Linked DNA regions of Alligator mississippiensis. The protein of the gene in region 2 interacts with the protein of the main gene of each other region in a pairwise test. Links are inferred from orthologs where the notes say so. Each region holds a gene or a part of one and is shown on either strand. Other genes may lie near its edges.

What was found.
Region 1: the proteins of PER2 (region 2) and CSNK1D interact in binary tests that used the Homo sapiens proteins (3 or more experiments, as listed by UniProt). The link is inferred for Alligator mississippiensis from reciprocal best matches to the Homo sapiens genes PER2 and CSNK1D.

Annotation. Positions count from the first base shown.
Region 1 is NC_081831.1:120,292-136,200, reverse strand, and holds the start of CSNK1D (casein kinase I), read right to left. Parts: upstream 7,111-15,909; 5' UTR 7,096-7,110; coding exon 6,954-7,095; intron 1-6,953. UniProt on the Homo sapiens protein: Essential serine/threonine-protein kinase that regulates diverse cellular growth and survival processes including Wnt signaling, DNA repair and circadian rhythms. It can phosphorylate a large number of proteins.
Region 2 is NC_081830.1:44,723,362-44,739,884, reverse strand, and holds the start of PER2 (period circadian protein homolog 2), read left to right. Parts: upstream 1-8,587; 5' UTR 8,588-8,660; intron 8,661-16,523. UniProt on the Homo sapiens protein: Transcriptional repressor which forms a core component of the circadian clock.

The DNA.
Region 1 (15,909 bases), on a different chromosome or scaffold from region 2:
TTGACTGAGCTGGGAGAATAAAATTTGCTTCAGGACCCACAAAGCTGATGTTGGATGAACATCACCTCATGCTTGTGGCATCTGTTTGCGAACTAGGGTTGGCAAGTCTATCTTCCCACTGGATTCGAAGGGAGGCAGCACTGACAGTACTGCTGGACAGGCAGCATTGATAGTACTTCTCCAGAAACTTGAGGTGTCTCCTGTACATTTTCCATGTCTCAATTCCATACAGTAAGGTGGGGATCACAGCTGCTTGATAAACCATGGCCTCGTTTCAAATCTGATGTTGCGACCTGCGACCACTTGTTTCGTCAGGTGTCCAAAGACTGCACTTGCACGTTTGAGGTGACATTGGATTTCTTTGTCAGTTTCAGCCTTCTGTAAGAGATGACTTCCAAGGTACAGGAATAATGTTCTCCAAAGTCTCATCATGAATCTGAATTACCAGAGCTGGGGATTGCTTATTAAGAGCTTGTTGATGGAGGACCTTATTGCCTTCTGAATGTTAAGCTTCAGTCCCATTTTCTTGTATACCTCAGTAAAGGTGTTGATGATTGCCTGAAGGTCTGCTTCCAAGCGAGCACAGACCACAGCATTGTCAGCATACTGGAGTTTGATGACTGAGATCGGGATGGGCTTGATTTTGTCTTGGAGTTGGCTGAGATTAAACAGCTTACCATCAATCTGATGTAGCACTGCGGTAAGAAATATTAAGAGCAGCGCTGGAGTGATGGCACAGCCTTGCTTAACTCCTGTCTTAACCTCAAAGCGATCTGTGATAGATCAGTTACTGAGAACCACAGCTTGCATACCACTATTGAGCAGGCAAAGAATAGTGACAAATATTGGTGAACATCCACACTTCACTGCCCTTCACCCATCCCTTCCTCTCCTGGCAGGGTTGAGGGTTTCCCAGCCCCTTCTGCAAACAGTTCTTGTAAGTTGGAACTCTGCCAGCCTGCACAGCTCTTTGCAAAAGGGGGAAATCCGTGGGTTTCTCTTCTAAAAGGGAAAATCCGTGTTTTCTCTGATAAAAGTGGGGAATCTGTGGTTTTCTGCGGGAAACGGAAAACCAGGATCCCTGCTGATAACATACCTAGTCCTGACCAAGGAGATGCAGAGCCCTGGGGCCAGTGCCACCCTGCCCTGCCGTGGGGCAACAGCTGGCTGCCCACAGCATCATAGTGGTGCACACAGGAGCAGGGGCAAGCTGTGGGGCTGTGTGCAGCAGCAGGCAAGGGGCCAGGATGCTGAGAGGGAGGGATGAGGCAAGGGGAGTTGGGGATGGGTTTAAACTTTAAGTAGCCTGTTATCTGGTTTTCTGGTCTGCGAAGGGGCAGTAAAGCAATTGCTTGCTTGAGTAGTCATCAGCACCCCCTCCTTTTTGTTTTACTCTTTAACCTCATAAACCATAGGTGTGCTCCTGAGTTCTGCTGCCTTACCACTGTAAGTAGGGAATAACAACTAAGGGGTGTTATTGTAAGGGTTTTAACTAACCTTAATTTTTTTTAATACTGGTTCACTGCCTAACTACAAATGGCTTTTGATATCCTTCAGCAGCTTTTAAAATTTTATCCACATTGCTGACCTGGCCTGCACGTTTATATATACCTTCCATTACCTCTCTGCCTCCACACACCCCACACTTAATCCTCCTCTCACCCTCTCCTGCCTGCCCTGCTGCCTTCCTAGTCCTGAGCTGCCGTTTTCCTTCCCTGCTAGACTGCGACCCATGCTAAATGTTAACCAGTACTACATTACTGGTATAAATATGCTTGTTTAAATGGTTAACCTTTCATATCCCTAGTGGAAACACTTTAGTCATAGGAACTTGTATAAAGAATTGTTTATAGTAAAGAAGTAAGTCTTGCTACTGCTCTTGCAACAGTTGGGGGCCCTACCTTGTGGGACAGAACGGCTACTTTTGCAGACTGGGTTTTCCTGGAAACAGCAGCACCGAATCTATACACCCATTGTGGAGCCAGCCTCTTCTCGGCATGCAAAGTCTGAAGTAAAGCACCGGGTTTTGGGGTTTGTTTTTTTTAATGTCTGCTAGCAGCCAGTATACCCAGGAAGTATAGTGCGTCATGTATCCAGGAGGACTTATTGTCACACAGCTGACCGTGGCTTTTTTTGGGGGGGTGGGGGGGATGTCTAAGTTCTGCCTTCAAAAACCAAGATATGCACGATGAATGCAAGAAAATACAGCACTTCCTTAAGAAACTAGTAGCTGGATGAAGCTCATTCTAAATAAGATTGGAATGATCCTGGGAAACTAAGGAAAACAAGTGAAAATTATGAAGACAGATGTATATCCAGCTGTAATGAAGAGTGCGTAGCTGCTATTTATACTATTTAGAATCTGGTTGCACTGCTGGATCCCAGCTCCTGTTAGGCAACCATGTACAGTAAAAGCTGTGTTAACCAGCATTTTAGTAACCGGCACACACTAACTGGAATTTCTGCCCGGCCAGACCAGGCGGGAGAAGGAAGCTTGCACAAGGTGGCCACCACTGCCACCCTGTGCTGTTGCTGCTCCACATGCAACTGCCGCTGCCAGCCCCCCACCCTGCATCCGGCCAAAAAGTCCTGTCTCATGGTAACCAGCATTTTTAGATTACCGGCACGCCCCATTCCCCACGCATACCAGGTAACAGAGCTTCACTACGTCCAAGTGGCCAAGATACTATGACAGTTATTTTGAGTTGGACTTCATTAAGTGGACCCCTGCTTTTAAAGCCACAGTACTTGACTACTGCTGTACACTTTAGATGGCCCTATACTTGAAATCAAGCCAGAAACTTAAGAAGCCTACTTATCAAGTATTTTTCCTCAATGCCAATACAGGATAACCATTTCACAATACACACTAGCCACTTACTGGTTTCCAGATTAAATGCAAGGAGAAATTTGATTTACTCTGCTCCAAATGGCTTGGATCCTCCTTATAAGACAGACCACCCCTCCTCCTCTATTAAAGCAGTTATTAAAGCCTGAAAACTGAGGCACCTTCAGTTGTGGAGAAGACTGTGAAGGATGTCAGCTCAATAAAGAGTTTGCCTTCCTCCCCTACTCCAAAGCAGCCATGGACTGCTGACCATCAGGGCATAGAATCATAGAAAATGAAGGTTGGAAGGGACCTCAGGAGGTCACATCTATTCCAACCCCCAGCTTCAAAGCAGGACCATCCCCAGCTAGATCATTCCAGCCAGGTCTTTGTCAAGCCAGGCCTTAAAAGCCTCCAAGGATGGAGGGAGATGCCATCACCTCTTGAGGTAACCTGGTCCAATGCTTCATCACACCCTTCTAGTGAGCATGTTTTTTTCTAATATCCAACATAAACCTCCCTTGCTGCAACTTGAAACCACTACTCCTTGTTCTATCATCTGTCACCAGTGAGAATGCCACAAGGCACAGCCTATCTACATGAGCAGCTGCAGAGGATCAAGTCTGATGAGAGTAAGTTCTGCTTTGTAAGGGATCAAGTTCTGCTGGATACAGTGGTAAGTGGCAATTCATTTTAAATCTGTACTTTTAACTCTTGTAAAGGTCACCCATGAGCTTTGGAAAGGCATGCCATTCTTGTACAAACAGCAAACTAAAAAATATCTAGCATGAAGATGTTATTTTTAAAAAGAATGCTCCAAGTCCTCTTTCTTCCTTGATTTAAAAAGTAGGTTTTATGCCATACAATTTTCTACCCCTCCCCCCACCATTCTTATTTGGGGTTTGAATGTTTTCTCCATGCTCATGCATTTATTAAAAGTGTTTGATCTTATCTGCTTCTATGTAGATAAGATTAAAACCAGGAGGAGTTACAGTCTAAAGCAGGTGTGACCAAAATCCAGGTTCAGAAAACTGGATATAAGACAAGCACCAACAGCATTTATTGCTGTGGCTCCTAAATGGGTTGGGCACCACTGCTCTAGCAAACAGTTTTTCAATTAGCAGGCTGCAGTTTCCTGATAGTCAGGAAAGATAAATTAGGAGGTATAAAATCTCACTAAATAAAGAAAATATTATTTCCAAAATTACTTTGACATGGTCAAAAATTTCTATAATTTGTCATGAAGTGTGACAGCATGAATATTTCTTCACTTCGAAAAAGGGCTGAAATATGTTGAGATGCTCTCCTTCTGATTTTAGCTGTTTACAGTTAGGAGTCTTCGCTAGCAAAGCAAACAGTATGCAGAAGCCACAAAGTAGCTATGTGCTTGTAGCATTTATACCAGTTTTGGCCTAACCTATCAAATATTAGAACAGCTTACTATTCCTACTGTTCTCTTTTTCTATATTGGACATTCTTTGTACAATTTAAAAAACATTTGAGAACCCCTGCAGTTTTGTTTTCTTATCAGGATGCTAATTTCAAAGGCCTAGGCATATTAAACCCCAAATTTGTTCTCAATAAAGTCACTTAAAAAATTTAAGTACGGCTGAAATTCTACTTCTTGAATCCATTGCTGTAAGTAGTCACCAGGATACTCTTCTAAATCCTTACAGCTGGGGGGGGAGCAGAAATACAATAGCACAGGGGGCTGGGGCAGAATTGCTTACCTTCCCTAAAGGCACATTTGGGCAAGTCTCCTTCCTCCACTCGCATCAGAGTCCCTCCCCAACTCTTTTTACTCTTCCAGCATATCCTGTACTGTGTACTAGGAAAGGACTGGGGGGAGGAAAGAGGCAGAGGGGTAATGGAAGGCGCACACGCACACACAGCCAACTCAGTAACGTAGATGAAACGTTAACATCTGCTGAAGGATATCAAAAGCTATCTATGGTTAGGCAGTGAACCAGTATAAGAAAATAGATTAGTTAAAACCTTTAATATAACAACTCTTAATTGTTATTCCCTACTTAAAATGGTTGGAAGAAATTAGCACATGCCAGTTAAAAAAAAAAAGTTTGCCAACATGAAAGGCTCAGATTTTTTGTTGTTTTTGTCAACATATTTGAACATCATCTAGGTGAGCTTTTAAGCACCCTATCAGAACAAGAAGTAGTCAAACAAATTAAGATTTAAACTAGGAATTCAGGATAGTCACCAAAGGGCTGTTCCTGAAAACAAACAAGCAAGCAAGCAAACAAACAGACAAAAACCCCACTAGATTTTGCTGGAAAAAAAAAAATCCACATCATTAGCTGGATACAGTAACTTCCTTTAACCATCATGTTTTCAGATTGGCTGTTTTAAGTCATTTGGGACCCAAAGGGAGCACAATCTGAAGGTGAAGGACCCTCGAGCAGAAAGCACTGCAAGCAATGCCCTCTAAGGATTGTCTAAGACAGAAAATATGGGACTAATGCTGTAGTGCTGCAGCTAGCTTCATACCTTAGAGCTCTAGTACAGTACTGCGATACAAATACTTGCCCATCCCCACACTCTGCTTCCATCTTTGTTCCCATAGTTAAGAACCACAAAAATGGAAAGATACAAGTCAGTTTCCTTTTATATATCAACTCAAAAGCCTCCGTTGATCTGAAACTATTGCAGAATGCTGTGGGAAGAGGAACAATCTCTTTGTTTGTGTGGTGTAGACAATATCCAGAGGAAGGTCATTAGGAGCAGCTATTACTTTACATTCACACATGACTTAGCCTGATTTGACTTCCCTCTGCAGACCATTTTTTAGACCGGTAGGCACCAAGCCACCAGGTTTAAGGTGCTCTCTCTCTCGTTTGTAAAGTGCAGCCTGAAATCCAAAGACAGCCAATGGAAGTTCTGAAATACAGGCATAACATGTACATAGCAACACACCACTTTCCTCAGCCTTATACACGAGGCGTTGAAACAGCCCCCAAATTTCTCCCCACCCCCCCAAGTTCATAGGCCATCAGCTAGAACAGGGAGTTTTCATTGAGTACACATTTTACTCAAGGATAAGCAACCTTGAGAGCCTGCAAAGAGAGTTTCATTTAGCTGTTATTTCTGATTACATACAGCCTCTTGAATTAAAAATGTGGCTTAGGAGAAAAAAATTAATAGTTTGTAGGCAAATCTATTACACTGACCACATGCACAAAAGAGCTCAAAAAGAAAATAACTAGACCTATGGCTACTTTGTCACTGTCAAGACAAGAAAAAGCGTTGTTCTGACTTACCTTTTGAAAACTACCCCAGTTTTCAAGAACTCCCCTCCCTCCAAGACAACGTGCTACATATAAACATTTATTTTACATAAAATAAATTCAGACAGACCCAAGTCATTCTGACTTCCTCTTAAGCACATTCAAAATCTTTGCTTAACATTTAAATTAGCAACGGGGTACAGTGGCCTCAATCAAAATTGAGGGATCACTGCCTCAGGGTGGGGGGTTTATACCAAAAAAAGCAGTTTACAGAAATCACAGAAAGTTAGGGCTAGAAGGGAGGTCATCACAAAGTAGGACGAGCCCCAACTCCATCATCCCAGCCAGGGCTTTGTCTAGCTGGGTCTTGAAAATCTCCAAGGATGGAGACTCCACCACCTCTCTGGGGAGCCTGTTCCAGTGTTTTACTACCCTCTGACTAAGGAAGTTTTTCCTTACATCTAACCTAAACCTCCCTTGCTGCACCTAGAGCCCATTGCTCCTTGTTCTGTCATTTGCCCCCACTGAGACCAGCCCAGCTCCATCCTCCTTGCAGCCCCCCTGCAGGGAGGTGAAGCTGCTATTCAATCCCCTCGGTCTTCTCTTCTCCAGACTCAATCAGCCCAGTTCCCTCAGCCTCTCCTCACCGGTCCTGTCCCGCAGCTCCTGAACCATTTTCACTGCCCTCCGCTAGACTCTCCAACTTGTGGGCCCCCCACAACAGAAAGGATGTGGACAGCTAGACACAGGACTCCAGATGTGGCCTCTCCAGTGCCGAATAGCAGGGGAGAATGGTGCCCTCGATCTGCTGGCAGCGCTCCTAGCAATGCAGCCCAGGATGCCGTGAGCAGCCTTGGCAACAAGGGCACCCTGCTGGCTCCTACCGAGTTTCGTGTCGCCCCCAGGCCCTTGCCTGCAGCTCCGGCGTGGAGCCGCTCCCGGAGGCCGCGCACCCCGGGGTAAGGCGCGGCCAAGCAGGAAGACGGGCCGGTTGCAGGACGCCCGTTCGGAGCGGTCCCGAGTCATCCTCCGCCGGGGACTCGGGTAGGCCCGGCAAGGCCCCGCGACCGGCGGCCGGGCCAGGCGGGCGCCGCCGCGCCCAAGGTCGCAGGGGAGGAACGGCGCGGGCGATCGGTGCCCCGGGCCGCGCCGAGTCAGAGGCTTCCCTCGGCCCCGCAACGCCGCCGCGCCCGGCCCAGCCTACCCAGGTAGATGTCCCCGAAAGAGCCACTGCCGATCTTCCGGCCCAGCCGGTAGCGATTCCCGACGCGCAGCTCCATGGCGGCGGCGGCGCGGCCCGCGGCTCAGAGACTGGCGGCGCCCGGCACCATCGCGGCCCCGGGACCGCGCGCGGCACCAGGGAGGTGGAGGATGGACGCGGATTCCCGGGGGCCCGGCGCCTCCTCAGCGGCCCCCGGCCTGAGCCGCCATGCTGTGTGACCTCACTTCCGTAGCAACGGGGCGGGGCTTCCGGCCGCTTCCGGCGCGCGGGTCCCACCTTCCGACCCGCTGCGCTTGGGCCCGGGCACAAAAGCGCGTCCGGGATGACCTAGTCTCCCAGCCCTGGAGCCCGGGATCGAGCCCAGCCCAGGAACCGGAGGGACCGAGCCCTCCCCCCACCTGCTGCTTGCACCACACTCTCAGACCTCGTTTTCTGGCGGCGGCGGCGGAACGCCGGGCCGGGCTCAGCTTGGCTCCCTCAGCCCCTTCCAAAGCACGGCCAGTCCCGGCTGTTCTCAGGCGCGACGTCCTTGGGGCCTTCGCCTCCTTGCAGGGGCAGGCCCTGCAGTGCGGGCAGCGGCCCCTCCAAACAGCCCCTGCCTGGCAGACGGCACATGGGGCAGGGCACAGGCAGCGACCAGGACAACGCCTGTCGGGTGTGGGGGGTGGGCAGCAGTCAAGGGAGACCCAGGCGGTGGTGAGCAGGGACAGGACTTGAGGGAAGTCTAGGTGGGGGGTCAGAGAGCAGGGGGTGCAGGCCAGGATTATGGCTGCAGGTGCTGACCAACAGAGGAGGGTGCTAGGAAGGCTCAGAACAAGGTGAGGAGTAGTAGGGTACAGGATGGGTCTCAGGCTGGGAGTGGGGATGGTGGGGAGGGCCCCCCAGACCAGACTGGGGCTCCAGCATTCATGGCTGCCCTCACCCTGCCCCACCCCCACCTTCCCGGGTTAGTTGCACCCCACTGCAGGAAGCCTTGCCCCTCACTGACCTTTGGGGACCCTAAGTTTTGGGGGGCCCTGGGATTCCCACTCATCCTCTTAACATGTCATCAGAGCCCCCTCCCCATACTAGCTCAGTTCCTTGGGACCCTAAGGGCAGCAGTGCCTACCCCCAGGAGGCCCTCACCCCACCCCCAAGACTCCCTACACCCCATGGGTCTGCCCCCCAAAAAACCTTCCTTGGCCCCACCCCAACCTTGTGGCCTTCTGCTGTCTCTGGGGGACCTTTGTGTCCTTGACTACCTTTTTCCACAGTCTCAGTGCAAGAGCCATGCCATCCAGGGTCCCATCTGAGGTGGGGACCCACCTTCTCAAGCCCTGCATGCTGCCTCTACACCTTTGCTACCAGTCTTCCTCTCAAGCCCCCCTTAACACTATTTACCCTCCTGTCCCTCTCCTCTCCCCAGCTATCTGCTCATGGGGGCATCAGGACACAAGGGGGAGCAAGAAAGCCCACCTCCATGAAAGGCCCCTGCCCCAAAGTTTGTTCTGTGCAACACCAGCCTTTTAAAGGCAAGTGCATCAACTTGGACCTTCCATTCCCTCTTAACAAGTAAGGTACTACCACCCAAGCCAGAAGGAGAAGCAAGAGACAGGTCTATAACTCAACCTTTTCATTACACCTCAAAGCACAAGAATAAATACTTCTATCTATGCCTGCCTAGTTACCTGCAACACCACAATACAGATTCTCACCTCTACCAGCTGGGGAGATGCAGGAGGGAGGAGGCTAACAGCAGGTTGTTTCCACTTTGCAAAAGTCTTTGTAAAGTTTCCCTGCATTTACACCTAAAATTTATATGTGGGTTTTTAAAATCACTGTTCTGATAGCAATAGGTGTAATGCAAATGTGTTTCACTGAAACTTTGGGAATGTGAGTGAACTTGTTTTTCTGTGGGCTTGGGAGATGCCAATGTGCTGGGGCCTGTGTCCCTGGAGTCCGATACAACTCTGGAATAGAGGAGCACTGCTCATCTCTTTCCTTGTGTGCCTGGGAATGCTCTTTGCCCTGTTGTGTTTTACTCTGCTGTTCAGACCTAGTTTAATTTCCAGCAGGTTCACAAAACCAAACATCAGGTGCTGCTTTGAGCTGCTCTTTCCCACCTGTCCAGAAAGCAGTTACTGGTTTTCAGTCTTGTCTATATTATTAAAGGCTGGAGAAACAGATTCTTATTGCACTTTCTCAGGCTCTTCCATGTGATGTAAATGCAGCCCTGGCCCCTTCTGCACGGGGTCGCTCCTTGCTCTTGGGCCTGTAGGGGTCACCTGGGTCTCGGCCACAGCACCTGCCCCGTTTTACCCTGCCCATTTGATCTCACCCATAGATACTTTCAGTGCTTGGCCTCATCATCACTCTCCGTTCCCCATGTGCATTTTGCGGCACAAATCCATGGTGCCGGCGTTCGGTTGCCGCAGCCTGCTCCCAATGCACGTGCGCCTGGAGGTGACAACTCGATAGTTTCGGCACTGGTCCTGTCATCACTGCCTGTGTAACCATGGAAACTCATCCATGCCTCCTGCTTTGGCAGAGCTCCCGTATTCCAATGATGCATGCACCAATCCATAGTCTCGGTGCTTGATGTATTTCGTTTGGGATCACTACGCATGTGGGTTTACTAGCAACATCACTCAATTCAGTGTTCCATTCACGCAACCTTGCACCGCGCATGCCCAACTGCTTTGCCCATAGATGGGCAAATGCAATATGCCACTTCTTCCTAAGTACGCATGCGTGTTCATGGCCCCTCATCGATGTTTTTGTCGAGCTTCCGCGCTGGTCCTCTAATCAGCGCCTCTGTAACCATGGAAACAAAACCATGACTCGAAGACGAATGCGCAAATCCATAATATTGGCGTTCGGCGCACTTCGACTGCGACCACTACGCATGCACACTGACAAGCACGAGTCAGCCACTCGTTGCCGTGCGCATGCGTACTTGGTTTGCCCACTAGTGGGCAAACGAGATAGCCCCCCTCTTCCTTAGGGCGCACGCGTGCTTATGGATGCTCGTCGATGTTTTCCTCGCGCGACTGGCAGTTGGCTCTGTACAGCGCATGTGCACTGGGTCCCACCCCCCCCCCAAGTGATGGCTTAATGCCGCCTCACTTTCCCCGACGCTGGTGCCGCGGCCCCGGGTGGCTTCCGCTGTGGGCCCGGAGCCACCAGTATTGTCCGTAGCGCTCATTCCCAGTGCGCATGCGCTCCGAGACCCGCGCCTTGATAGTTTTGGCTCTCGTCCTGTCGTCATTCCTTCTGTAACCATGGAAATCTATTTCTGATGCTTGGTCTTATAGCGTCCGCAAATTCCCCGGAGGCATGCGCCGCGATCGCGGTTTTTTTTGATAGCGCCCAGTACGCATGCGCAGGATCCAGAACCCTCGATAAATTCGGAGCCCAGCTGATCAACCCTTCAGCAGCCCGCGCGTGGCCAGTCGATTTGCCCATTGATGGGCAAACGCGATGCATCGTCTCTTCCTGAGTGCGCATGTGTTTTCGTGGTCTGATATAGACGCTTTCGGCACTTTATGGGGAGCCCACTCTGTACCATGAATGCGCAGTGGGTGTCCCCCACTGATAGCTTAACGTGGCGGCTGCTTTCCCACACGCCAGTTCCGTACTTGGCGTGGCTGAAGCTCCGGGTCGGGAGAAACGTTGCGGGGGGGTTCATCCCTGCCCCGAATATTGACTCCGGAGAAGCCTAGCGGTCATTCCCAGTGCGCATGCGCATTGAGCCTCTGTAACCATGGAAACCCATCCATGGCTCCTGTTCTGCCAGTGTCTGGTATTTGACAGGATGTACGCACAATCCATAATATCGGCGGTCGATGTGTTACGTCTGAGACTACTGCGCATGCGGACTTGTCAGTACCATCGAGCTATTCACTATTGAAGTGATAAGCGCCTCACGCATGCGTACTTGCTTTGCCCATTGATGGGCAAACGTGACGCACCGCCTCTTCCCAAGTACGCATGCGTGTTTATGGCCGTTCTCGAGAGTTCCGTCGCGTGACTGGGAGGCCCGGGCTCTAGAGCGCATGCGCAGTGCGTGTCCCTCCTGGAGTCCGTGCCTGGGCTGTGCGCAGCTGGGCGGTCTGGCCGTGGGCTGCAGGAAGAAGGGCCTGGCAGCGGAGAAGTCTGCGGGGCCGCTGCTCCTTTGTGCCGAGCAGCACCTCCTGCTTGGCCGCCGCCGGTCCGGATGGCTGGTCTGGGGGCGCTCCTGCCGCCGAGTGCGGAGCGGGGCGGCCCTGCCGCGGGGTGCCGGGTCAGGCGGGACGGGCGGCCCTCCACGGGCCAGACTCGCCTCCGAGCCCTGCGGTGCCCACCCCGGGGTCATCTGATGCACACACGCTACGCCCAGGAGATCTCTGGACAAGTACAAGAAAAGCCAAAGCAAGTTCTTCAAAAAAAAAGTTCACCATTTTATTGGGACCTACCTCGGTAATTGAGCACCTCTGCCAAGAGCAGCTACATACAGCAGAGCATACCCGGACGCACGCAGTGCCCCGTGGGGGCCAGCGCCCCTCGCCGTGCATCCTCCAGGCTTGAGGCCGGTTCCTGACTCCCACGTCTTTGCCTTTGTGTGGGGATTTTATAGAGTTCGGGTTGAAATGTACGTATTCCAGCCCACTTCTCTGAGACGAGAATCTCTCAGCCCGTGAACGTGGCAGGGAAACCGAGTCGAGGCCTGGAGCCTTGTTCCTTCCTGAGGTCGCCTCATTAGCATTGGGTGTCATCACTGGACTGTACATCGCAACTCCCTTGAAACTTTTCTGACATGCTACTCATGGTGTTTTAGGTTTAAAAAAAGGCCTTTGACACAGTGTCACACCCAATTCTTATAAATAACCTACATTGCAACTGTTTAGTTTATTACACAGGCCGGTGGGTAGAAAATTGGCTTATGGGGCACAGCCAGAAAGCGGTGGGGGATGGGTCGGCTTCCACCTGGAGAAATGTAGGCAGCCGAGTCCCCCAGGGCTCAGTCCCGGGACCGGTGCTATTCAATATCTTCGTTAGTGACTTGGACGAGGGAGTAGGAGGCACCCTGTCCAAGTTTGCTGACAACACCAAACTATGGGGGGAGGTACACAAACTAGACGGCAGGGAGGAAATCCAGCCCGATTTGGACAGGCTGGGGAAATGGGCTGAGCAGAATAGGATGCAGTTTAACAAGGATAAGTGTCATGTGTTGCACCTGGGGAGAAGAATCATCAACACTGCTACAGCCTGGGAGGGACCATACTGTCGTGCTACTCAGTGGGTTGGACTCGATCCATTGAGGTCCCTTCCGACCCTAACATTTATGAATCTATGAATCTATGACTGCTGCAAGGGATCTCGGAGTCATAGTTGACTCCAGAATGAATACGAGTCACCAGTGTGATGAGGTAATAAGTAAAGCTAACCGCACCCATACTTGCATGAGTAGGTGCATCACGGACATGTCTAGGGCAGTGATACTTCCCCTCTATGCAGCATTGGTCAGGCCACAGCTGGAGTACTGTGTCCAGTTTTGGGCACCGCACTTCAACAGGGATATGGATGGCCTGGAGAGGGTTCAGAGGAGGGGCATTCATCTGGTTAAAGGCCTACAGCAAAAACCCGATGTGTACTGTTTGGGAGACCTGAACAGATCTCCGCAAGAGGAGGCTGAGGGGTGATCTCGTGGCTGCCTACACACTCAGGGGCCCATAGGGGATACGATGTTTACCAGGGCAGCTGTTGGTGTAACTAGAAATAACGGCCACAAACTGGAAGAGGGCAGGCAAATTCAGACTGGATATCAGGAGAAAATTCTTTACAGTGAGGGTTGCCAAAAGATGGACTACGCTTCCAAGGGAGGTGGTGCTGTCCCCTTCCTTGGAGGTATTTAGAAGGAGATTGGACAGACCTGGCTGGGGTCTCATATGACCCCAGCAGTCATTCCTGCCTGGGGCAGGGGGTCGGACTCGATGATTTAATAGGTCCCTTCCGAGCCTAACATCTATGAAACCTTTTATTTGTTTGCACCTTACAAACATGAGAACAAATATTTATCCCAAATCTAGCTGGCTGCCTACAACCGTAAAACATAGGTTCTCACCTGTATTGGCCAGGGAGACCCAGGAGGTGGGAGGAGGGTGGCATACAGATTAGCAGCAGGTCTTGATTTTGCTGAGTTCTCTGCATTTCTCTTCAGCCTATGCCATTATTTATAAATGTATATTTAGTTACATCAGTTGCTACCACTACTACTTCAGGATAAAGCTATGATATAGTATATGTGGATTATTCAATGTATAGACTTCTCTTAGCTCTTTTTAGGCTTCATGCTTTGGTTAATGATTTGATGGTTTCCTTTGCTTGCTGACCAAGTTAGTTGTCACATCTGGAAAGGTTTATGCTCCGGTCATTCAGAACAAGTTTTTGGGCCTTCCGCTTAGCAGCACTTCTGTAACTTAGCCTAGGCACCTTGAAAATGGCCGAGGCTGGCAGCAGGGTCATTTAACCCTCATCCGTGTTGCGGTTAACAGCACAAGTGTTTTACCTCACGTGAAGGGCCCTCACCAGCTAGCACGTCTGCAACAGGTCACTGTGCGGACTGCTCAGAAATGGGCATTTGGGGCCTGCACTAGTCTCTTGGAAAGATCCAAGCCAGCCCTGGCAGTGGGTGAGTGCGTGTTCCTGCCTTGGACATGCTGAGGGAACAGAGTGTTCCAGCAGTTGCTTCGGCTTCTGACTGGATGCACATTGTTCACTTGCACATGTCCAAAGGTACCGGCTCTAGTGGCTGCAGCTCTCACCCCCAAACTACTAAAGCACCTTCCCAAAGCATGGGCTAGGCTGATACCAGTGGCACAGACCCACAGACTTGTTGTTGTACCTCCCTGTGCCCGGACTGGTGTTGAGCATGTGGACCTCAGCAAGCTTCAACATGTATTAGCCTCTCATCTTTCTGTGGCCACCACCACAGGGCCTGTGACAGTAATGTCTCTGTCAGCCTCTGACTCCCTCTTCCCCTGAAGGCCTCCCATGAAACCCCTTGTCCCATCACAGTCGGCAGCATGGCTCAACCAGCATTTCCCACCTGCACCTGGAGAGTTGCGAGGTGGGTGGGGAAGAGCCTTCCTTGCCCCCACAGTCTTTACTTCTCTCAGCTTGAAGCTATTTGTCTGTTCCAGTGCCCCTTTTCTCTCCTCCTTCCACCTGGGTAGTCGCTGGGAGGTGGTCTAAGAGGGTGCACATGGACCTCCCAAGAAGGACTGTTTGCTTCTGGCCTGATGCTGAAACGTCTTTAGGGAGCACCTTGCAATATACCAAATTTTCATTTTTTAAAGAGAAAAGGTATGAAAAACCCATTGTTGTTCAGGAAGCACAGCAAGACATGAGTTCAATTCCAGGGCAGAGTTTGGGATTTTTGGTGCAACACAGTATAATACTGAGCACGGGGTTGAAGTGTTGGTGTTATTCATTGTGTACTTTGAAAAACCTGAACCTGTGCAGAGATGTATCCAGTATGGGTGTGTATGTATACTGCTATGCAAATAATGTGTGTGTGTATAACATACACCATAATTAACACAGTGATCCTATTACTAGCTCTCTGTCTAGCTCTATGCATGGGGATAGCGATATAGATATTAATGTATCCTCTGTGCTATGCCTATATACTAGTGGCTGTAGTTCATGCAGATATACTAGGTATTGTGTGTCCATCCATACGTGGTCTGATTAAACCCGGCTCAGTGCTGCCCGCCTGTGGTGCGCTCCGAGCACTGCAGCCCCGAGGAACGGCGCCGAAGAGGGGAGACGAACTCACTGCTCGGTGTAAAATAGTAGAAAAAGGAGAACAGGGAGCTGAAGTGACGGTGTTATTGATTTCGTACTTACTTTGGAAAACTTACATTGTGCAGAGCTGTATCCAGTACGGCTGTGTGTGTATACCGATATTCAGATAGTGTGTGTGTATGTACTACACACCCTCATTAATATAGTTATTAGCTCTCTGTCTCTACCCGTGGCGACAGTGATGTAGCTGTTCAGCTATCATCTTTGCATATAACCGCATACGAACGTGTGTCGTTAGTATATACGCACTAATAGGGGTCATGTGCATTGTGCTGCTACACTTACCGTGAAGACAAACCCGGCTCAGTGCTGCCCTCCGGTGGTGCGCTCCGAGCACTGCAGTCACGAGGAGCGGCGCCGCGGAGGGGAGACTAACCCGCTGCTCGGTGCTGCCCTCCGGTGGTCCCGTCGGGGTATTGGCGCAGCCCGTGAAGGCGTCGAAAAAACCCTGCTCAGAGCCGCCCTCCTGTGGCCGTGCTGGAGCGGGGCTTGGAGCCCGGAGAGAAGGACCCGGAACAAAGCCGGCTCCGTGCCGCCCTTCCGCGCGTCACCCTGCGCGGAGCAGCCGGTTTTAAAAAGGCAGAGAAAAGAAACCCCTGCCCTGTGCTACTGCCCTACGACTCAAGCCGGGCTTTACAGCCGAGAGACGAGGGCAGAGAGAGAGAAAGCGGCTTCGGGCCCCGCGCCTGCAGCTCGGGCAGGCGGGAGATCAAGGCAGGGAGACAAGACCAAAGACCTGGCTCGCTCGGGAGTCACTCGGGCAGGGCCCGCGGCCGCAGCCGGGGCCGGGG
Region 2 (16,523 bases):
TCTCTGGGTGTGACCCTCCAGCCAATTCGCCACCCACCGGACTGTGTAGTCATCCAAGTCACAGCCTCTTAACTTGTTCACCAGTATGGTGTGGGATACCATATCGAAGGCCTTCCTGAAGTCTAAGTATATGATGTCAACCCCTACTCCTGCGTCCAGGCGTTTTGTGACCTGGTCATAAAAAGAGACTAGATTAGTCAGGCATGATCTACCTGCTACGAACCCGTGCTGGTTTCCCCTCAGCCTTGATAATTTTTTCAAAGACTTTGCCTAGGATGGAGGTGAGACTGACTGGCCTATAGTTGCCTGGGTCCTCCTTCCTCCCCTTCTTGAAAATGGGGACCACATTGGCCTTTTTCCAGTCCTCCGGGACCTGGCCCATGCGCCACGAGCATTCAAATATTCCCACCAGTGGCTGTGCAATGACGTCAGCCAGGGCCTTCAGTACCCTCGGATGGAGCTCATCTGGGCCTGCTGACTTAAAGGCATCCAGTTCCTCCAAGTGACTCTGCACCATCTCAGGGTTTATGCATGGATGGAGGTGGACTTTCCTCTGGGGCCATAGGACACAAGACTAGGAGCAGGACTAAGCCTCAAACTGCATCAGAAGAAATTTAGATTGGAGATTAGGAAGAACTTTCTGACTATGAGGATGATTAGGCATTGGAGCAGAGAGACCATGGAATCTCAATCCCTGGAAATTTTCATGACCAGATTGGAGACGCTTGCCTGGAATGGTTTAGTCAGGGTCAGTCCTGCTTTGAACAGAGGTCTGGACTGTGAGGTCTCTTCCAGGCCTGCTTTCCTGTAATCCCGTGTCACAAGGTTCCACACAATATTAGCATTGCTAGGCGTACAAACACAATTCACAAGATGAACCCATAGATTTCAAATAGGAACCCAGTTTTAAAAACATTCTGATCTGTTGTGATCTTTCTGCATTTTTTGCAACAGAATTACTCTATTATTTTTCTGCACTCAAAAAAGATTGAAAACTTAGGAGCAGGCGTTTTTCAATGGATGCCTCAAATCCAAAATGAATGAGAACCCATGGTTTAATTGTTTTATTTTGATAATGTGGATTCACTTTTTGTCACTTACATGGTATGGTAAATGCATATCACATAAGGTTATAAATTCACCAAAATAAAAAAAAAGTTTATTATCAAAGGAAATTTAACGTTTACGTTATCAAAGGACATTTCTGATTTTCCCATCTAACATTTTGTTGAGGTGACCATATTCCTGCAAAATGTTTCAGTTTTAATTGAACTATATCTTCTGATGAAAATCTACTTTCACTTATTACCATGTTTGAACTTACACCCATCCTGCAAATGCTGAAGAACATACAGAATTTTTTACTTACAAATAGTCTCATTGAGGTCCATGTGACTATTCATGTGAGTAAAATTACATGTGTGTATAAATAAGGGTTTGTAATTACATGATCTTCAACATTAGGATTTAGATCCTTTATTCAAAGACTGATCTTCAAAATCCCTCCTAGCCGCCTATGTCTGATATATATATATTAGTGCCTACATTTTCAATATTCAAGTTTCCTAGGTATCTGAAATGTTGCTTCTGAGGTTGCTCAGATCCCCTGGCTTTTTAGCATGGTTGAGTAGCTTGGCACCTATCTCCACACTGATGCCCAGTCAGGATCCTCAGGCTAAATCCCCATAGATGCCCAATCTGGTAGGCAGACAAGGTTCTTTGGGTAAATCTGATATCTTGGGTATACTCAGAGCACATTTAAGGCACATTGACAATGAGCTCCACACACAGCAGCTCTAGCCCCTTTCATTCAAAAATTCAGCCAATAAAGTAAGAGGGGGAAAATGCATAAATAGTGCTTTGAGCAGAGGCAGGAACCCAGGCCTTATGTGTTCCAGATGAGTGTACCAATCACTAGTCTATAGAGCAGGGGTGGGCAATTATTTGGGCCCAGGGGCCACAATGGGAGTTTTGACAAATTGTCGCAGGCCAGGTCGGCACTTCCCGCCCACTGCAACAACTCACCAAAACTCCCTGTGTGGGATGGGGCCATGGGTGGAGAACAGTGTTCAGGAGCAAGACAGGCAGGGGAGGCTGGGATCCCAGGGTGGGATTGTGGGGCAGGTGGGGGGCTGCCTGGGCACACACATGTGTACACATGTGTGGGTGGGGATCTGTCTGGGCACTAGGTCCTGGGAGTAGGCCAGGTGAGGAGAGGAAGGAGGGGGTCTTGGCCCCATGTGGAGTGTCACAGGGCAGCCGCGGGCTGGATCAATTGGTGGGCACCCCCTATAGGCCCCCTCTAATCAGTTGGTGGGCCAGATCTGGCCCACAGGCCATATTTTGCCCACCCCTGCTACAGAATTATGCTCTCACTCCCTCATCCAATGCATTGTAAATTCTGTTTTGCAAGGTGGCTGTGCTTAAATGGGCAACATACAGAGTTCTTCCCCTCCCCATCCTGCCCCATGATAGGTTAGGGCACTCCCCTGGAATGTGACAGATTTGGAATGGACAGCCTCATGGTGAGGGGGGCATTGAATCTATGTGGCACCAGCTGCTCTGCCATATAAAGGACTAGAGAACCCCTCCTGTGTTTTTGAAAAGGATGGAGGAAGTTTCAGGCTGGCAATCCCAGTCTGACAGATGTGCCTGCCTGCAGTCCAGAGTTAGATGTCTAAGCCCCCCTACAACAAGGGCTAAATTTAAGACTTACTTCCCCTTCCATCATTTTCTATGAGCTACCTTTGTCAGCATCTGCTCAGCATGTTGTCTGTTGTGAAGTCTATTCTAAGATACCTGACTTCCTCCATGAATGTATAAGGGGTTTAAATGTCTTGCTCAGCAGTGGATTCTACTGCAGAGACCAGGAGCCTAAGAGTTAATTTTTGCTCTCTCGCCCTGATTTTCCAAACCCTTAAGCACATGTATAACTTTACATCATGTCCATTGTTTTCAGTATGGTGCCGCTCAGACAAAGTGATCTGACAATGCACAATTAAGTTTGCAAGGTCTCAGGGCCTTTGGTGCAATACCCTGCTACTAGATCAGTTGAAGGGGTACTGTATATTATAGGAACTGGGGTCCTGTTACTACAGTAGTAAGGTCCACCCATATAATTCTAATATTCTATGTATCTTTCTAATATTCTTCAAACAGAAGAGTTCAAGTTTCTTCTGGTTTATTCTTTTTTCTTACATACTGTAGTTGTCAACAAATAAAATTAAGAATTTAAAACAGTGAGTACAGAGAGGGGAAAACTACACTTCCCAGAGTCCTCTAAGAAACCAAACACCAGTTCTGCATCTTCAAAAAGCAGTTGGTTGTGTTGGAGCACTTCTTAAGAGACGGCTGCTTGAGTTGGAGCTCTTTAGCACTTCAGGTATGCTTAATGTATGAAGGAAGTATCTCTAAATGTGAATGACTAATTAGTTTGATAGTTTTTCTACCCTAATATGGGGTCAAAATACCTGACAGACTTTCACTGATAGGGAGAAAGCCTTCCCTTCATTTCTCTTTATGGGACTGGTAATCTTGATGTATTTTGCTCATTAGCAAAAAGGCCGTTTTGGATCTCTGAACCTTATCAGCAGTCAATGAATATTGAGAGTAACCACAAATTTGAGAGAAAGGAGTGAGAAGAGAGTAGGTGAAGTAATTAGGCAGCTTTAGAAAATAAAGAATGAGATGACTCCATCTGAAAAATATGGAAACAATATGGAAAAATATGGATTTCTTTAATCTTTTCAGTTAAAAAATTCCAAGCTCAAGAACAGTGTTTCTTTTCAATCAGTGCTGTCATAAAATTAATTACATGGAAAGTACTGAAAGTAACAAAATAGATGAGAAGACAGTTACTTGAAAGAAATAAGCCTATTTGTCTTCACTAGCTAATCGAGCTGATACAAAAAAGCCCTTAGTAATTCTGCAAAAAGCTTAAGCATTTCAAACTTGACTTCATTCCAAAGTGCTTGAAACTGCTGATTTCCACTGGTTCTAAAATGTTCACAGTATTTACAATATGTTGACATGTATCAAAAACAAAACTGAGTTGGGTTTTCTGATAAACTAATTTGGGCACCCCAATGTTAAAATATAGACAAAGCAAGATTTTCTTATGACAAAGTTTTGATAGCGTTGAAAGGTTTTTCAAATAATGTCTGTTTCTGAAACAGGCTGTTTTTCAGAATACAAAATTTGCATTTGAAGGGGGAAAAAAGACCAGTTGTACTATCTAATCTTTTTGATGCCAAAAAAAGGGTTCTGCACTGAAAAAAAACTGCCAGGGAGAGAGTTGTTACACAGCTTTCTGGATATTGCCAAAGCTATGCAACTTTAGTTATGCTGTTTCTGCTGTTAAAGGGATATAGCATGAGGATGGTAAAATAGATAAGATCTTAGGCCCTGAGCCTGCAGTAAATTGTAGTGATATGGACTACTACTCTCAGAGTAAGGTCATTTGACTCCAATGAAGTCCTGCTTAGGCAGAGAAGTCTGCCTCACATGACCTTGGGGGCCTCCAGTAGAACTGAAAGTTGGACATAGTAAAGGATTATGCCAACTCTCACAAAAGAAAAACTGTTTGTGGGTGGTGTCAGCGTGTGATTTCATAACGTTACATGGTGTGATGGAATACTTTGAGATGAACAAATGCTAGAGTCACACTGTAGATGAAAGATCCTCTGTGAAGGACACTGAGATCTGACACATTATAAATTGGCTTCAACCTGAAAGCGATGTAACTTTGTTTTTAAGACTTTCATGGAAATGTTGACTCACTGACAGTGTCCACATGTAGTATTGTTCTTTTAGAGATTTATTAAAATGTTTAAGGAATACCCTAGCTCTGAAACAGAGTAGACGAAGGTGGGAAATAAAATTGCCTGTCACTTAGTAAGGTTCTTCAAAACTTTGTTTTAATGTAAAATGTTGATTCTGTTCGCACACATTCTTAATTTTACTTGTATGAGTTGCAAAACATAAGATGTATGTGAAAGTGTTAGGAAGATCAAGGCTTTAGACATTACAACAAAACTATTTTGTCCTGCTTTATTTAGCAACCATTTTGTTTGACTGTGTTTCTAGTAAGAAAGGAGCCAATGTGGTTGTTTCTGTGCCTGTGCACTAGAATTGGTGATGATATCAGCAGGGAATGTGTGCTGCTATAGAAATAATGGACCTGATTGATCATTATTATATATCAGTGTATCAGGAGTAACTTCCTGTATTGATATGAGTGGTTGAAACCCTTAGAAAACTAAAGTGGGAAGAGACTCTACCCCAAACTTAGTACACTCTGCAGCAAAGCAAGAGGAGACTCATATGTCATATTTTAAAGTAGTAAATGACTTTTTTCAGTTTACTTTTAAATAATTCGGCGACAAAAGGCAGTGCATAAAGGGAAAGGGAGGAGTTTAAAACTGGACAGTATTCCTCAGATGTTTATAGCCGAAGTCAAAATAATTGAGTGGCATCCCTTTAAAATTAGTATGATCTAGTGATGCTTTTAGATGTCTGGAAAGCTATTATTAACAAGCTTGCTCCATGCAAGAAATATCCCTCTACTTCCCCAAAAAGTTGACTGCTTTAAAGTAACCTTAAGTCTGAGGATTTAAGTTCACACAGACCAAGACATTTAGAAGTTAAAGTTCCCACAACACGTTAACATAGGCATGCTCTCCGGAACTTTTAGTTAATATTTGCTTATCTACCTGAGAACAAACCAAAAATTAGATCTGCATAGGTATACCTCTGCATCCACACAAACCTAGATGAAGAAATTGTGCTTCCCACTGTCCTTTGGAATTAAATCCATTACAGAATGTTACTTATATCATAGAAAATGCCTACTTATTACTGAAATATCAGAGCACCTAATGCACAATAATGAATTTAGCTTTAATACCCTCATGAGGTGGGGAAGTAGTATTAACCTCATGTTACAGACAGAGATTGAAAGTACTGGTTGATTTTTTTTTTCTGTTGCTGCCCAACTAATGCAGCCATTCCACCTGTGAAAGTGAGCGTAAAGACTGCTGTCATACCAGATTGCTCCACTCTTGCAGGTGATAGTCTTAGACACCTGCTCACTTCTCTTTTCACAGATGTAAATATTTACACAATGTGCCTTTCAGCTCTAAACTTCTATGAATCTGTGGGAGTAGGCCCTGTGTATGTCATTCATCCTCTGAGCCACTCTGAACTCCAGCCAACCTCCAAAGATGATGGGGACCAAGAGGGCAGGCAGCACCTCTGTTGGGCTCCTACGTGATTGTAAGTCTCATGTTCTCCATCTGCAACAGCTAAGGAGATGGAAGGGATGGTGTGTTCTACCTGCTAAGGGGAATTAAATGAGCAGCCCATTTAAATGCAGGTAACTTGAAGTAATACATGAGCAAAGCCTTGAATGCTGGACACTTCACAATCTGTATTTAAGACACAATTTATTTTGACAAGGTGTAAACTGAACAGCAGATGAGCCACATGCTGACTGGGGGGTGTAACAGGGAACCCTAGCCCTGTCACCCGAAGACAGGTCTGCTCCTTTAAGGCCTGAACTTTCTGGGTGTGGAGTACTGGTGAGGAATGGGGTTAAAGGCCGAACCTGTCCAGCTAGTCAGCTGACCAGAAGGGGCAGGCCAGGACTATAACCCTGGGCAGAGTGGCAGTGAAGGCCAGCAGCCAAGGGGGAAGGAGAGCATCTCAGAGCTCCAGGAAGAGGCTTGGTGGGCAGTCCAAAGCCAGGAAGAGGGGAACTATGGAAGCCCCAGAGAAATGACAGCCGCACCGCAGCAAGGACTGGAGCTGATGGTGGGGAGCTGAAACACGAACCCTGCAAATGCAAGCTGACATACCGCTTTCCTTACTCACATTTGTGGGTGGCAGATATTGCCCAGGGATGGGACTGTTTATTTTTCTTTTGGTTATCAAATAACACCAGTGGTTTGGGCGAGGCTATTAGGGGAAGGAGGAGGCCTCCTTTTTGGGGCCCACTATGGAGCGGAGACCCTGGTGCCAGTGAGGACGTGGTTTTTGGGGGTACATAGACCCCGGTGCTAGTGGGGGTGTAGGATTTTAGGGTGCACTGACCCTGGCACCTGAAAACATGATCTTAAAAAGACTGGGGAGTTCTGGTGCACCTAGGGTGCAATTTTATTTATTTTTTTGTTGGACTGGGAGAGTGCAAGTTTGGGGCTGTCCCCTGGCCTTGAGCTTGTGCCCCCTTGGTTGTGGGGCTGGTGGCTGGGCCTCTGGGACAGTGGGGCCAGCCTCTAGATTGGAGCAGGAAAGGGGGTCACAAGCCACAAGACACTGGAAAAGGCTAGAGCCTTGGAGTCAAACCCTGTGTGGTGGGTTTAGACGGGGAGGCCTAGCTAGAGAAAGACAAGGGTCAGGCCCATGTAGACAAAAGGCCCCAACATACAAAAAAGTATGACAGGCAGTCTCCCGCTCGCAAGAACATCATCATCATAATTTTCTATCGAGACGTGGCAGGCGAGAAGAGGGCGGGACATAAGAACTTCAAGGAAGACTCCAAGGGTGCCCCACGTAAGGTGCGGATTACCAGAGAAGATGGCCCTGGGGAGGGCGACCTGTTACAGGGGGAACCCTGCTCTTCCGCAAGAGGGCTGCATTTTGTAACTTTGCAGACAGGAGCACTTCTAGTCTCAGTGTGTGGACCCAGTAGGGCACGGTTCGTTGAGGAGATAGGATATTATTAAACCAATGGAGTAGCTGGAATAAAGTTCTTAACAAGCTTTGGGGCACAGCCCAGGGTCTACCTCACTGAGTCTAACTGTGAATAGTTGGCAGGGTGCGGCAGAGTCACGAGCTTGCCTGTTTCTCCCGCAAACTCTTGATCCTGCACCTGACCGACCCCAGCCTGGCAGGCAAGCTGCTTGAGCCCCTGCCGACAAACTCGGGTGACGGCGGGAGCAATGGCCGTGGCCCAAGGGCCCGGAGCCCCCTCCTGCTGCCGGCAAACGAGTGTGTGTCCGCAGCTCCGGAGCAGTTGCTGCTGCTGTTGCTTCACCCGCCGCGCTGCCCTTGGGCTGGAGGGAGCCTGGCCCCGGGCGGCGGGGCGGGGGCGGGCGAGCGAGCTCCTCTGCCTCATGTCCCTGAGGGGCCGGAGCCCGGCCAGGCCCGGCTGCCCCGCACCGCACCGCACCTGCATCCGCGGGACCGCGTCGGCGCCGGGCCAGTGCCCGGGTCACCAAGCAACGGAGGGGCAGAGAGGCGGGGCCGCCCGAGACGTCAGTAACAGCAGGGGGGGGGCCTATCGGGGCCACCAAGGCCGTGACGTAATCCCTGCCCCCCAGCCGCGCTCTGCTCTGCCCCCCACCTCCGCAAGCAGGTCCCCGCGCGGGTGAGCTGAGCTGAGCCGGGCCGGGCCGGGCCGGGCCGGGCGGAAAAGGAAGGTGCGATGGAGGGGACGCTCCGGCGCTGACCCCGCTCCTGGAAACATGGTGTCGCACGTGAGGCTTATGTAAAATGAAGGACACTCCCCGCAGCCAATGGGGGCGGGGGGCGGCCCAGCCCCGCCCCTTCCGCATGCAGATGAGGCGTCGGCAGAGCCAATAGGCGACGTGGGGGCGGGTTCTGTGGCCGCGGTCACGTTTCTGACTGTATGAAGTGGGATCTGTGGCGAGCGGCGAGGGCTGGTGAGTGCGCGCGGGGGCTCCCGGAGCCGGGCCGGGCCGGAGCGGGGCCTGCCTGGGGGCGCGGGGTCGGGGTGCGACAGGGCCCACGCGGCCGCTGCTGGGGGTCCGCGCCCTAGAGGCGGCGCGGGGCTGCGGAGGGCTCGGCCGCGGGGGCGGGGCTGAGTGGCCGCGTCCTTCCCGGCCTGGAGATGCTCTGTCCCCCGCGGGCGGCCGCTCCCGCTGCTGCGCTTTCTAACCAGCCTGTCCGCGTGTGCGAGCGCCGGGCGCAGTCGGGTGGGTCCTGCCGCCCGCCGTCGCCTCGGGGAAGGAAGCGGCTCAGACAGATGGTGCCGCCGGGTGCGGGCAGAGGGCGGCAGCAGCTCTGCCGAGACGCTGGCTTAGCAGGATGTCAAAGGAAATTTGCGTTGTTAAGTTCCCGAGGGCTCGGGCTGCCCCGTGTGTTTTTGTCTCTAAAACGCGTAACTCCGAGCTCTGCGGTCACACGCGTGTGAGCGCTTCCCCGGGCGCCGCCTGGCACTCGGGTTAGTCCGGGCCTCGCCGTGCGGCACTGCTGCATGCACCGCCTGGCCCGAGCTTGAGCAGGAGACGAATGCTGCTTAAAAGCCCAGGGCACTGCCAGTGCTGGCCTGTTTGCCATCCTGAAACCAGCCCCTCACTTTCAACTGGTTGAATTGCTTGACAGCTGTTTTCCATTCACTGTGCTTATAGGGAGTGCATTTACAATAATGGTTAGGATGTGACTGCATGACAGCAGAGGTTCTCAACTTTTTTTTATTATTATTCCTGAGGCAGCCCTCTTGGTTTTCATGAACTTATAGGTTGCAGAGGGAAAAGTAGAGCGATTCTCCTGTTGTAAAGAGCTGAGACTACAGTAGGTCGGATTGTTTTGGGCGTTACAGATTCCTATTTTAAATCTGGGTTTATTTTCTGATTCATACAGAGGTGTTTGCACACCTAAGAGTGCTAATATTGTGTGACACCCTTCAAAGGATCTCACAGCAGCCTGGTCAAGAATCATTGAGCGAAGTGGTGGTTTTGTAAACCTAAGTGAAGCCAGAAGCCTGGCCTTAAAACATTATGCTTCTAGTCTGAGGAATGGGAATTTGCCCTGTTAACACAAAGCAGATTTCAAAGTTGTTCCTGTCTGTGAAGCCAGAGACTTTGAAGTGAGGGGACATCTATGTGCACAGAAGACTTGGCCTTTATCACTTATTTGTATTATGAGTGTTCCCCTGCATCCCATGAGGACCCACTCATTATTCCAGTTACTGTACAAACAACATAGGAAGCATAGGTGACGTGTAAAGGGGGTATGGGGGGCATGTGCCCCTCCCCTGAGATTGGCCACCTTCGGCTTCTGTGTGGTCACTGCTCGTCACCCCTTCCCTCGCCAGCATCTGTGAGTGGTCCCCGCTTACCACCTCCCACCCCCCTTGCTGCCAACACTGCTATTGGCACCTGCAGGTGGTCCCTGCTTGCTGCTGTGGTGCCCTTCCCCCCCCTCCCCCCCCAGTCTCAGGAGGCACCAGTTGTTTATGATAGGAAGTACCTTGAAAAGCAGAGGGTCTAAGTCAGGGGTGGGAAAAATACTGCCCATGGACTATATCTAGTCTGCCAAGGGAATTTGTTCTGCCTGCAATGGGTCCTTCTGTCCTGCCTGTCCCAGGGGCAGGGGGCAGCCCAAGCTGTAGTGCACGTGGCCTATACTGCTGCCCCCAGGTGCGCAGCAGGGCTGGGGTGGTGTGGTGGCCTGACATGCTTCCTGGCTGTCACTGCCCTGGACCTGGACCTGGGCACCCCAGCCCGTCCACCCCACACTCACCATTGCGGGTGGGACCTGTGCGGGCAGGGCAAATGGCTGGGCAGATGGGATGGGGCTGTGGACAAGCAGGAGGCAGAGCTGGGATCACAGGGCAGGATCATGAGGTAGTAACAGTGAGGGCCTGGGGTCAGGGGTAGAGCCGTAATCTGGCCACATCTCTGATGGGTCTTTGTCCGTTCCCTTGTGCAGCAGTGTTTTACTAGGGTACTTTCTCCAGATCTGAGGGTTTGAGAAAGGAGAGGGTGGATTGGCCAGGGGATGAGACTTAACATAGATAAGGCCAACGTTTGATTTCCACACCCTTCTCTAGAGCCACAGCCTGTCTACCAGAGGTTGATAGTGCAGATGCCATCTTGTGTAGGTATTTACACACTATACAGTGCTGATTCTGTTTGGTACCTTTAAAAGGAGCCTCCTGCTACCATTGTTGAGAACCAGGGAGTTACAGAGTAGACAATGACTGAAGGATTCTGTGTACAGAAGCCATTTATATAGTTAACAGATATGCAGATTAATTTGATGTAAGCTGTAGGTAACAAAGTTGGACTGGCATTGTTTAATGCAGTTTAGTGAATTATGCATTTATCTGCCATGCATACCAGTGTGTTGCATTTTTTTTATTTATTATTTTTCACTCAGTAATCTAATGACCAGGGTGTTTCATACTTAAATAAACAAAAAAGACCTCTTGCCTCCTTTCTACCACAAAGGTCCTTCTTTTTAAAAAATAAGGCTTTGTTTTTGTTTACTGTGGTTTCAAATAACACACAATGCTATTATTACTGAAATAGTGTGGAAGGGGGCATTGTCTGTGTGCGTTTGATCATTTAATAAACTCATTTTTGCTATTCTTCATCTACTTCATGTAGACCTCATAAAATAGAAAGAGAAGGAACCTGTAAGGGCTTCCAGAACGGAACTTGTTGAAAGGACTTGAGTGGCATCTTAGGCTGTTTGTTTGTTTTTATTACACTTATAAATTGACTAGATTTCAGTTGTCAGTGTGTCTTGAACCACCGAGTATGTTTGCAGGTGACATTACTCAAAGCAATAAATAGCTCTGCGTCTGCTTCTAAAGGATGTTGAGGACAAATCCTCAAGGACACTATGATAATTTTGACAGTGAGGCCATAAGTGTGTGTTGAAATGCAAGTAAGTTAAAATTTGGATGTGGAGCTTTGCCAGACCAGAACTTGTTGTGACAGGTTCAGTCATACCAGCAAAGACTTGCTTTACTTGGATCCTGATTCTTTATTAGTAGAGTTAAGAAAGTATTGAGTGTAGGCCTCAATAGGGTATAAAAATCAAGTCTTTAAAAAGCCAGGAGTTAAAACATAAACTAAGTTATTTGTCAGTTAATGTGTTAACCTCTTCAAAAATAATAGTGAAATATGTTATTAAAATTGTGTCTGCATGTGCAAGAAGTACTAGGAATTAATGTCTGCCTTCCCTTGAATTAAACTTTAAAATTAACTTTTCACGGAAACTGTTATACAAGTGAAGGTGACCAAAATTGTTGTTGTTAAAACTCTGCCAATTTCTTAAGTGTAAATAAGAAAGCAGAGGCTTGTGTCTCCCAGCAGAGGTCGTTTTATTGCTAGATCCCATTTGGGTGTTTTGGGTGCTACTAAAATGAGTGACAGTCTGAGTTTTGATTAGAAACTTAATCTCATCATAGTGATGATTTCCTCTGAATAGAATTATATTTCATTTGTTTAATGTCTTAGCTAAAAACTGGTAAATAAGTGTGGATATATCCTGAATGTGACCTGGCTTTTTCTCTGATTTCTTATCTGATGACCAGAAAGTCTAAATTGCATAGTCTAGGTTGATACAGTATTTAAAAGAAACTAGTTACTTTCTATGTTTTCATTTTGTTTTGTTTAAATGCACTTTTAGAAGTCTAAAAAGAGCTTTTCAGTAACACAAAGCACCTTTTTTCCGGTCAGTCATTTGTTTAATTCACAGTACCTTTACACTACTGTCTCAAGAGCTGTTCTAATAGGCCCATGTTAAAAGGGAACAGCGTGATCATTTGAAACTGTTGTGTGCTTGTGCCAAATATTATACTATAGAAAAGTTCCTATTTCCAGAACTGCCTGGTTACCTAGTAATTATAATGCATAGTAACATAACAATTCAGATGTTATAAAAAACTTGTCCTTCAGATTTTGATTCAATGAAGTAAATCCATAGAGGGTTATTTTGGGTTTTGTTGTTGGGTTTTTTTTGGGGGGGCAGGGGTTACCATGTTGCAATTTTAGATTCTGCATGCAGAGTATACACAAGAAGCACTGTTGGTTCTGAAAAGTAGCTTGAACATTTTAGAAGCTGAATTGTGTTATTAGATGTACTATCTGATCTCATCTGTGTGTGAGGGAGAATTGTCTACCTGTGCTGGACTTTGTATTACAGTTTTATTTTTTGTTACACTGTATTCAAGGTAGCAAAGGAAATTTGACATGGGAGAATATGATGATGTTACATTTTTTTTGTTTGATTTAATGTTTAAGGGTCCAGAACTTTTTCACCGCCATTACAATATCCATTTCAAACTCATTTTTGTTCATAATGAAGTCCCTTGATTTATTAAATTGGAGATGCCCTATGTGCAGCCTTGGCTGCAGATCAAATATGTCATTCAGTGGTAGGGAAGGTGTGGCTTCCCTGGGAAACAGACTGTTCTCTTGTCTTCTTCTTCAGCTTCAGGCAGGCAATTTTTTTTTCCTAGCTGTAGGAAAAAAATACAGGGGACAGAAAAAGATGGTCTCCAGGCTGTCTGGGATTCTCCTCCTCATAGTTACTCTTTGTGCCCTAACTGGGAAATAATTGGATACTTCAAGTCTCCTTTGACTTGCTGCTGATTAAGTACCTGCCTGAAGATATTCCTCTGCTGCGAAGAGCCAAGGCCAAACAAATGTGTGTGTTAGGACATGGTTTCTTGTAGCCCCCTTTTTATGAGTAGTATCAACATCTCATCAGGGCCATGTCCTCAGTTTGACAGTAGAGCCCTGCTTTTTGTGCGCGTCTAATCCAGAGGATTAAATGATCATTGAGTTTCTTTCCAGTCCTGTGGTTCTGTAGATGTACCCAAGCTATTAAACTGCCTGATTGGGGAGCTGAGATCAGTCCGATGTAGTCTAGTTGTGGCAGCACAGAGTTTACCATGGGCTAGTTTACTTTTTCTCCAGGAGGTTTTGCAGTGCTGAGTGAGCTCTATGCTGCTATAGCTGGACTGAAGTAATGCCAGGACTATACCTTGGTAAGGGAGTTTTGTCTCTTAATGATACATCTGTCCATCTCTTACCTGAACTGCAAGTTCGTATAGTCTTTTTTTTTTTTCCTATGGGATCACAAGCCAAGGAAACAAATGGCTTGCCTTGTTGCAAAGATGACCAAAGATATTTTGTTATAGACCTTTAATTTCCGCATCAAAATGTTATAAAAATTTGCATACAGGTAGCACCGGTAATTCTGGTTGGAAAACCTTGCTTCTCCAATTTTATTGAGTACAAAGACTTCCCATCTGCTTTTCATCCAAAAGGGAGGTGATATTACAAGTGTCATTCATGCCTCAGAATCCAGATAATCTGTGTAGTTTCCTGGCTATTAAACCCCTGAAACCAAAGGGAAGGTGCAGAAACTATAATGTCCATAATTTTTTGTCTTCCAAGAAGAAGCTTAGCAGCTCAACTTCAACCTGGCCCCTGAATGTGCTGTCAGTTGATACTAGGAAAAGGGTTTCATTATTGTATCTGCATGAGTACCACAGATTTTTGAAATTCTTAGAGATGGACTTGATTGATGCCTGGCAGTTCAAGCATTTGGAGATCAAGGGTATTTGACAAAGCAGCAGCTTGGTTCAGCAGGCAGGTAGTAGATTTCATCTTTTCAGGTGTCCAGAATTTTGAAAGTTACTTCTGTTGTCATTGTGTTTTGGGAGGACTTGGTTCTTCTCTGAGATTTTACCTTGCTTCCAGTGTCATTAGGGCTCCTCTGTTGGAACAAGTCATGACGTTACTTTCTAAGCATTACAAATAAAGCCTTTTTGATAGCAACCAGTTCTTAGGTTATCGTAGATGGGAGATCTTTTTCCTGAAGCCACAATACTGCACCTTCTTAAAATGTAAAGTGGTGCTCGGAACTAACGATGCCTTAATAATAAAGGTTAACTCCAGGATTTAAGGGCTGTTGGAAACTGCCGTTCTGGTCAGGTTTGTGATGTCCCAAAGGGAAACTTAAAGCTGTGGAGACATCAATCATGTATCTTTAGGGTGCATGTTCACTGCACAACTTTAATTCAGAAACTCAAATGTGCTTTTCTGCTGTTATCCCATGTCCAAGGAAAAGAAGCCTTACATTACCTTGACCACCTGGAAGCTTCTAGTTGTAGAATACAAGTACCAATATCAGAGCTCACTTCCTTGGAGCTGTTGTTACTTCATGGGAAGAAAAATAGTGCATTTCATATTATAAGGATATACATAAAGCAGCCATAATTACTGATACCATCCCTAGATTCTACAGGCTGAACAGTGAGGCATCTGATGCTGCCTTTGGTCTATGGGTGCTTCTCATTACAGTAACTCAGTAAATGTTAGAGGAACGTTTTTTGTTCTTTTATTTTTTATCCCATTTCACAACTATGTATAGTTGTATATGCTTTTCAAGCGGGTACTTCTGTGAAAGTCCAAATGTTATCATAGGAAAGTAGGGCTGGAAGAGACCTTACAAGGTCATCTAGTCCAGTCCCCTGCTCAAGGCAGAATCATCCCTGACTAAACCATCCCAGCTAAGCATCTGTCTAACCTGTTCTTGAAAACTTCCAAAGGTAGAGATTCCACAGTTTCTCTAAGTAGCCTGTTCCAAGCATGACTGTGCTTGTAATCAGAAAGTTCTTCCTAATCTCTAATTTAAACTTTCTTTGCTGAAGCTTGAGGCCATTGTTCCTAGTCCTGTTCCATGTGGCCACAGAGCAAAAGTCCATCTCCATCCTATAGTTCTAACAGCCTTTCCTTTCAAGTCTTGCCTTTCAGGCCCCCATTCATTTTTCTTGGTCTGTGTTGGACTCTTTCCAGTCTGTCCACATTATTCCTTAAGTGTAGAGTCTAAAATTGGTCATAGCACTCACAGGTGAGGCTGCACCAGTGCTGAATAGAACAAAAGTATTGTTTCCCTTCATTTGTAAGTGACAGTCCTGTTAATATAACCCAGTACACTATTGGCTTTTTTGTTTTGCAACAAGAGCAAGCTGCTGGCTCAGATCCATTGCAACCGCCCCCATTAATTTCTCCAAATCAAATTTGAAGTCTCCAAATCGATTCGAAGAGATTTGAAAACTCAGCCATAGATACGGCTTTATTTTTTTTTTTTTCTACATACCTCAAGGTACCAGGCGTGGCTTGTGAACTCTGAGATGGTGGAGAGGATGAAGCATTCCATGGGAGCGTGGTGGAGGTCCCCCATGCGCTCAGCAGCAGACCCGGAAGCAGACCAGAAGTACTTTCGGTCCACTTCTGGGTCTGCCATGGAGTGCACTGGGAGCCCTCCACACCCTCCCCCCGGCTCAGAGACTGGTGCCTCCTGGGTCTGGGGGGGGTACTGGGGGTCCCCCTGTGGCCAATTGCCAGGCCACGGGGCGGGTCCCCTGTGTGCTCAGCGGCAGACCCGGAAGTGGACCAGAAATACTTCCAGGCCACTTTTGGGTCCACTGCTGAGCGTGAGGGGGGACCCCCTATGATCCTGTAGGATACTCCATCTGCCCCACTATCTCAGCGTTTACAAGCTGCGCCTAGTACCTCAAGGTATGTAGAAAAACCATACAAAGCTGATCTCTGATTCTCCGAATCAGAATCGAATCTTCAGATTGGGCTGAATTGAATCGAGACAGTGATTCAAGTCAGCGAATCAAATCACTATCCCCCAGATAGGGCCATATCTGAATTGTATACTATCCTCTTTGCACACCCCTACCCATCATCCAAGTTATTAGTGAAGGTTTTAAAAAATACTGAACTCATGATAGACTCCTGGGGACCCCC